Arabidopsis thaliana: one gene and its partner. The protein of the gene in region 2 interacts with the protein of the main gene of each other region in a pairwise test. Each region holds a gene or a part of one and is shown on either strand. Other genes may lie near its edges.

Evidence for each region. Proteins that work in one complex are often made in the same cells at the same time.
Region 1: the proteins of ROC4 (region 2) and ASAT1 interact in binary tests that used the Arabidopsis thaliana proteins (3 or more experiments, as listed by UniProt).

What each region holds. Positions count from the first base shown.
Region 1 is NC_003074.8:19,282,742-19,286,145, forward strand, and holds ASAT1 (acyl-CoA sterol acyl transferase 1), read left to right. Parts: upstream 1-1,597; 5' UTR 1,598-1,678; coding exon 1,679-2,716; 3' UTR 2,717-2,841; downstream 2,842-3,404. Other genes in the region: BZIP24 (basic leucine zipper 24), read right to left, coding at 87-211, 521-827, 913-1,108, 1,265-1,323; AT3G51980 (ARM repeat superfamily protein), read right to left, coding at 3,070-3,282, 3,380-3,404. UniProt on the Arabidopsis thaliana protein: Involved in the esterification of cycloartenol. Not implicated in the formation of sterol esters in flowers or during seed maturation. Has a substrate preference toward saturated fatty acyl donors (16:0 > 18:0 > 16:1 > 18:1).
Region 2 is NC_003074.8:22,971,305-22,975,906, forward strand, and holds ROC4 (rotamase CYP 4), read left to right. Parts: upstream 1-1,699; coding exon 1,700-1,788; intron 1,789-1,970; coding exon 1,971-1,991; intron 1,992-2,259; exon of another isoform or gene 2,260-2,354; coding exon 2,355-2,457; intron 2,458-2,651; coding exon 2,652-2,840; intron 2,841-2,917; coding exon 2,918-3,071; intron 3,072-3,158; coding exon 3,159-3,247; intron 3,248-3,338; coding exon 3,339-3,393; intron 3,394-3,486; coding exon 3,487-3,572; intron 3,573-3,679; coding exon 3,680-3,835; 3' UTR 3,836-4,023; downstream 4,024-4,602. Other genes in the region: GLP10 (germin-like protein 10), read right to left, coding at 139-689, 777-888; AT3G62040 (Haloacid dehalogenase-like hydrolase (HAD) superfamily protein), read right to left, coding at 4,024-4,245, 4,320-4,517. UniProt on the Arabidopsis thaliana protein: PPIases accelerate the folding of proteins. It catalyzes the cis-trans isomerization of proline imidic peptide bonds in oligopeptides. Required for the light-induced increase of thiol accumulation.

The DNA.
Region 1 (3,404 bases), 3.7 Mb from region 2:
TGTTAACTATATTGGAATCCGACCTCTATGCCCCTAATTAAACCCATATGTATATATATACACACAATACCACAGCCCGTAAACGCTTAACGTGAGAATGGTGGTGGTTGAGGAACAAAAGATTGAATAGGATCATGAAGTGTTTGGCCCTCCTCGCACTCCACTCTTGCCGCTTCACACATCATATTACTTGTTGCTAAGTTGCATCCATCTGTGTGATTACACGAGATCCAAAATTGTGTCAAGATTAGGTCTAGGTCACTTTTGTATAAAAATGATGGTGATGAATGGTTTACTATTAGTTTACGTTTTCATTATTCGAAAATGTGATTTTTACTAAGACGATAACCAAATAAATGAAACTAGTTCTTTAGCGTTTCGTATTGTTCAATAAAATTTCAGTAGCTCAAATTTCATTAGCTATTTACTAGTTCTTCCTCTTAATGCTAAATTTTTCATCAACGTATCAGATTGTTGACAACCAATTTCAACTAGTAAACCAAATAGTAGGAGAAATCACCTTCTTTGAACACAAAACCAGAACCGTTGCATTGTTTCTGAAACGAGAAACTACAAAGTTCAACTTCAATTTTCCCCTGCATCTCTACCAGAAGAGCCCGGAGTCTGATCAATTCAGTTTCCACCATTTCTTGGCTCTGAAGTTTTCTAAGGAATTGCTCATTCAGAGATTGCAATCTCATCACTTCATCTTCAAGGTATGCAGTGCGAGCCTTCTTCTTCTCCCTGTACTTCCTCACTGCCTCTCTATTACCACATAACCGTTTCTTGTTGCTACTGTCAGAATGATCATTCTCTTGCTGATCCTGCTGCAACATAAAAATATGTATCTATAACAATCCATTAAAATATCATCAGAAACATACCATATCTTAAGGGAAGAGATATTATTACAGAGATGATGAGATGAGTGTGAGCGTGGAAGCATGTGTGGGAGTGAGAAGCATCCTCTGGGCCTGGAGGGTTACAGCTATGAGTGTGACTACATCCTCTCGTTACTCGATCTTGATCTTTATCTTCTTCCTCATTCATCTTTATATATCTTTGATTCTGAGGTCCAAACTCAAGATCTCCAAAGAAAACACCTGTTCTGTTTGGGACATAGAATTATGGTGATATTATTAGGGTTTTTGATTAAAGTAAAGATGGTGTTGAAGAATATGTTCTTGATTAACATAGTGGATGAATAAAACAGTAGTCAACTCTTTATAATTTTTTGACATGGCCCAAGAAAGAAAAATCTTACAGAGAATCAAAGTTAGAAACTCGTTGGTTTCCTCTGCAATCCTTGCAACAACAAAACATCCAAGTACAAAGATTGATAGGCTTTTTGGTTTTGAGATTACCTTAAAATGTTTTTTTTTTTGTCTGTACCAAACTTTGAAATGGTTTTATTACTAGAAATTACGACGGAACAATAAGCAAAGCCATTTACCATATCCCCAGACCCCAATGAATAATATATTATAAGAAAGAGAATTGGTTCTTTAATGTCAATTGTCAAATTGTTTCGTATAGAAAAAGAAGAAGACTTTTCTCATGGATTTTAACTTATTGCACGTCTCTATCATTATTTAGTGTTCGCTGGCGGACACGTTTTGTAAACGTGTTTATCATCATCATCTTGCTTCCCGACGAGATTTGAGTTCAAGAAGCAAAAATGGCGAGTTTCATCAAGGCATGGGGTTTAGTGATCATCTCACTGTGTTACACTTTTTTCATTGCCAAATTGGTTCCAAAAGGAATCAAAAGGCTCATACTATTTTTCCCTGTCTTCCTCATTTTCTTCATAGTACCTTTCTTGATATATTCCTTACATTTACTCGGCATCACGGCTTTCTTCATCGCTTGGCTAGCAAATTTCAAGCTCTTATTATTTGCATTAGGGCGCGGTCCTCTCTCTTCAAACCATAAACCCCTATCTCTCCCTATTTTCTTAGCTGTCTCTTGCTTGCCCATCAAGATTCAGCTGAGCCCAAAACCTACAAAAACTCACTCCCATGAAGGATCCACAGAGGGTCCTTTGATTTATACCATAAAGGCAGTTTTTGTGGTTCTCATCATCAAAGCCTACGAATACAGTACCAAATTGCCTGAGAAAGTCGTGCTGACTCTCTACGCGATCCACATATATTTCGCCCTTGAGATCATCCTTGCCGCCACAGCTGCTGCGGTTCGAGCCATGTCGGATCTTGAGCTCGAGCCACAGTTCAACAAGCCGTACCTAGCGACATCACTTCAAGATTTCTGGGGGAGACGATGGAACCTGATGGTCACTGGAATCTTACGGCCAACCGTGTACGAACCGTCACTTCAACTGTTCTCGGTTTTGGGCCCGAACTATTCCCAGATTCTTGCAGCTTTCGGGACGTTTGTTGTCTCTGGGATAATGCACGAGCTCATCTTCTTCTACATGGGACGGTTGAGGCCAGACTGGAAGATGATGTGGTTCTTCCTCATAAATGGATTTTGCACGACCGTGGAGATCGCCATCAAGAAAACCATTAACGGTAGGTGGAGATTCCCGAAAGCAATCAGTCAGGTTTTGACACTCACTTTTGTGATGGTGACGGCATTGTGGCTGTTCTTGCCCGAATTTAATCGGTGCAACATAGTTGAGAAGGCTCTTGATGAGTACGCAGCCATAGGCGCATTTGCAGTCGAGGTCAGGAGGAAACTGACCGCATATCTTTTTTAACCCTGCCGTGTGACAAAGCTTGAGTGATCTCTATTTTAACTTATTTTTTTCTAACACTGTAAAACCGACATTTCTGCAACCCCATCATTTACATGGCACACGAATCAAGAAAATTGTGGAAGTTCATAATACTATACATAAAACCTTGCAAACATGATATGAAAGTAAAGATGAGGGGAAGAAACCCGCTCGAGTAGAGGCAATAACATGCAAAATGGATCAGCAAGATCCGCCTAAGTTACACATCTTAAGTCTATCTAAGGCAGTTAGAATTTGTCTACAACTCCTACAGCTAAAGCTTTTCCCACCAGAAATTAACGCACAGGGAGTTGCTTTCTTACTGATCATGGTGTTCATAAAAGTCCAAGCTTTTGGCGGAAGATCAGTTCCACTTCACCACGAATGCTCTCCACATCTGCAGCATAGTCTCTCTTGTATTCATCCGCCATTGATTCCTCCAGCTGTAGCTTCATTCTCTCTAATGCTTCTTCCAACCCGCAGGACTCTTTGAGAACCTGAGGCTCTATGGATTTAAGTTGAAGAAGAGTTTGGATTGCTGTAAGAGCCTGAAACATATTTTCCGAGTAGCATAAGTTAGAAAGAGATGTGTGCCAAGATTCATAGAGGAAGAAAAACGGTCATAGGCCCCTGTAATAGTTCTACCTTTTCTTGGAGATCAAGATCAAGC
Region 2 (4,602 bases):
GTACCTTTATATGCATTGCTTAAAACCCTCCAGCTGATTCAGCAGGTTATTCTAATGAACAAGGTTTATTTTTTCCTTTATTAAAATTTAAAAACCAATTAATAAAATTTAAAATATATATATATAACGACGCGATTTTTAGACTTTCTTGGGAGCAAACTTAGATTTGATTTTTTCGATTTCTTTCGTTCCGATTTGAAACGTCGTCGTTAAAACGTGATCCGGAATCGCCGGAGTGGCTGTGAATAGCGTGGCGGCGATCGATTGTGTTCCCGGTAATTGACTGTTGAACGCAGAGATCACCGACGCCGGTTTCGCTTTGTCGTTGTTTTTCTGGTAATGAATCAATCCTCTAGGGAAGACGAACACTTCTCCTTTCTTCACCGTCTTAGCGAAGAGCTTGTTCGCCGTCGTTATGAATCCAACGTCAAGCTCGCCTTCCAAAACGAAGATCACTTCGGTGGCGCGTGGATGCGTGTGCGGCGGGTTTAAACCTCCGGGAGCGTAGTCGATACGCGCGAGTGAGACTCCGAGCGTGTTAAGCCCTGCGATCTTCTCTACGTTTGCTCCCGTGACGGCTGACCCGACTGTGTTGTTAACGACGGCGGGTTTTCCGATTCCGGCGAAGAAAAAATCTGAAGCGGTGATGTTTGATTCGGGTTTACATGTGAAACCATTCACTTTTATCCCTACATAATCCAAAAACGACGACATTTCATTACTTTAACAAATCATTCAAAGTAGACAGTAAATTTAATTTGAAGATATATGTGTACCTGAAGTGCGATCCGCAACGCAGAGATCTTGAAGTGTGTCAGGATCGTAAGCAAGAACAATCACATTTAGAGATAACAAAGTAAAGAAGAAGCCAAAACATCTCGAGTCCATGGTTTTGACTTTTGATGATGTACTGTAGAAGAACAAGTAACTAGATTTGAAGCTCTAATTTGAAACTGTGTGATATGTTTTTGTTTCGATTTGGATCGTTATAAATATTTGAATCTGTTTGAGGAGAAATTATGCATAGCTTAACTAACTTAAACGCAAAGCAAAGCTTGGGAGTTGGAGGAAAGATGTGATGTCGTTTTCTTACACATGTACATATTTAATCTAACTTTTAAGTTTTGGTTTTCGTTAGCTAGAATTCTTGGTTTAACCGAAATATATTCCAGATCAGAGATCTATAGATCAATAATAAAAAGTTTCAGTTTCAAATTCTTGGTAAGGAGTTGGAAAGTTAATTAAAAACTTGAGTGACAAGCATTTTCTTATCATGATGGGCTGGGCCTGGTAGATAAACAAATAGGCCCACTTGTGGTAATCATCGATAGGGTAAATTAAATCGAGGTGTTAGGTTAAAGCAGATCCGTGCCTTGTTTGGGCCATGGTGCGGCCCAAGTGATGTTTTTCCTGGATTGACAAAGAAAGTTACTCAATTACCCTACAGTTACATGGTTGTGAATGTGCCTTGGCAAGGGGTAGAGTCGAAATTAGCACACGACAACCAGTGAAAGCAAACCAGTAAATTTCACTCATCCACAACCACAGATAAATCTAACTAAAACCCTCTCAGCTACCAAACAATCTCTTAGCGGATGAGAAATATCAAAGTACTCTTGGCACTCAAGGAACCCACCCCCATCAGCAATACAATTTCCTTATGTAAGCTTTGAATGGCTTTGGCGAAAACTCTTAGCTGATGTTCCGTTTACTTCTTCTCCCTTACGCAGTCGGTGCTCAACAGAAGCTGTTACAAACTCCAAGAGAGACGAAAGTTGCTGATGCATGGTACAGCAAATTATGTGTGTTTAAATAATGTCCAAAGACTGTAGTAGCTTTGTGTATGAAAACATGAACAATTTTGTTGGTTCTTGGAGTTTGTGGTTTTGATCTATTGAGTGTGAAATAATAGACAAAACTAATCTTGCTGGTCTTATGATGTTGTTCATAAAAACATGATTTTGTTCTAGGAATATTAAATGCCAAAATCTGTAAGCAGTTAAATTTTCAGAGAATGATATCAAAATTTTGGAAAATTAAAAATTGTGTGCTTTAGAAAGAAAAAAAAAGGCTTTCTACAGCAAATAATAAAAAAAGGCTTTCTACGGCAATTGTACTTGATAGTCATCCGCAACCACAGGTTTAACCCTAACCCAATTTTTTGTTGTAACTTAAGAGAGAAAGCATTTGGATAAATGACTTGGGCTGGGCCTAAAAGAAATTAAAAATAGGCCTCTAGCTGTCATTATCATTAGGCGTAAGTTAGCATGAGATGCTAAGGATACCACCAATCCATAGAGTTGCTAACTTAAAAAACAAGGCTCGAGGCGGTTCTCTTATCTGCAAAACTAAAGACTGTTGTCTAAAGCGAACCAACAAAAAGTCTTCATCTTTAATCATTCAATGGCTTCTTCGTCTTCTATGCAGATGGTTCACACTTCCCGCTCCATTGCCCAGGTTCTAAACTTAATCCTACATTTGCGGTTTTTTCAATTTTCGTCGAAGATTTATGCTTTGAATTCTATCCTTTTTTCTTCTTCACTTTAAGTAGTGTGTCTCTGTGAGTTAAAACGAAATTTCAATCGGATACTATTCCTGTTCTTGTGGGTTTTTTTTGGTCTTAAATCTCTTTTGTTTGGTTTTCTGTGTAGATTGGGTTCGGTGTTAAGTCGCAATTAGTTTCTGCAAATCGAACAACTCAATCAGTTTGCTTTGGAGCTCGTTCCTCTGGAATTGCATTATCTTCGAGATTGCACTATGCATCACCCATTAAGCAATTTTCTGGGGTTTATGCGACCACCAAGCATCAGAGAACCGCTTGTGTTAAATCCATGGCTGCTGTAAGTTACTTTTTTCATAAATCATTCATGTTCTGTTGCCTTATGGATTCGTGTTGATTTTTGAACTTGGTTTGTAGGAGGAAGAAGAAGTAATCGAACCTCAAGCTAAAGTGACAAACAAGGTTTACTTTGATGTGGAAATTGGAGGTGAAGTTGCTGGCAGAATTGTGATGGGTCTCTTTGGAGAAGTTGTGCCTAAAACCGTTGAAAACTTCCGTGCCTTGTGTACTGGTAAGCTCCTTATCAAAATGATGTTTAAAGTTTGGAACTTTATAGACACAATCAAAACCATTGTCTAAAGGAAATTGATTTCTTCAGGTGAGAAGAAATACGGGTACAAGGGTTCCTCTTTCCATCGTATTATTAAGGATTTCATGATCCAAGGAGGTGATTTCACCGAGGGAAATGTAAGTTCTTTCCAACAAGTTACATTTCAGACTGTTTGTTTGTTATTTTGATATTTCTTTCTAAATCGTCTTTTTCGATATGGTCTCACAGGGTACTGGAGGTATTAGTATTTACGGTGCCAAGTTCGAAGATGAAAACTTCACCCGTAAGTACTCACAAACAAAGAAAAACTCTGGTTTTCTGCAAATATGGCATTACTTCTTTGAGGTATTAATGGTTTTGTTTTCCGCATTTGCAGTGAAGCATACTGGACCTGGAATCTTGAGCATGGCAAACGCTGGTCCTAATACTAATGGAAGCCAGTTTTTCATTTGTACCGTCAAGGTAAAGATTCTCAATTCTTCACATCATCTATAGAGTTATCGATCTTTCATATGTTTGCCTTCCCATTTTGATTAATATTTATTTCACAAATTTGTTTTTTTGTGCAGACTTCATGGTTAGATAACAAGCATGTCGTGTTTGGACAAGTAATTGAAGGTATGAAGCTTGTTAGGACTCTTGAGTCTCAAGAGACTCGCGCTTTCGATGTTCCCAAGAAAGGTTGTAGAATCTATGCCTGCGGAGAGCTCCCGTTAGATGCTTGATAATCACTATTGACCGATGCATTGTCTTTGCCATCTTTGTTCTGTTTTTTGCTATTATGACTATTGAGGAATCCAAACCATCAAAAAGCCAAAGATTTTCAAATTCTGGTCTTTTATTTATTATATATTTCGGATACATGAGTTATAAGTTCTTTTAATCGATGTGGGATTCTTATTAGAATGTCTCTCTAAGCATTGACCATGGTTGCAACCGCGGCTTGCTGAACAATTGGCTCGAGCTTCTCATCTTTGTTGTCTTCCCATAAATCAGGTATTGCTTCCTTTATGTTATGAATGCTGCTTAGTGCATAGTCAGCACCTGGAACTAGCACTGATTCCCCCACAAACACGGTTTTTAGCCCTGTTGCTTTAGCACTAGCGATGTTACGAATACTGTCATCGAAGAATATCTGAAAAGAAAAAGATATAGACTTTTAAGTTTGGTATCTGAAACTGTGAAAGATCATAGTGACTTTTCTATTACCGTTTTGCGTGGATCAACAATGTCTGCAATGCGAATTGCAGCTTCAAATGCTTCAACAGAGGGTTTACAGAGGATTTGAGTGTTTGAATCAGAAGAAGGGTTTAGTGTTTCGAAGCAAATGATTCCTTCAAAGCAGTCCTCAAGACCCAATCTGTTGAGAGCTCGTGTTGCGTGAGCTTTGTCTGCGTTAGTAAAGATCTGTTCGAAGGGAAAATGAAAAAACAGAGGATGAGAAAAAAAGATTCAGTGGAGAATTCGAGTACAAAGCTTGAAGAAGGAAGAA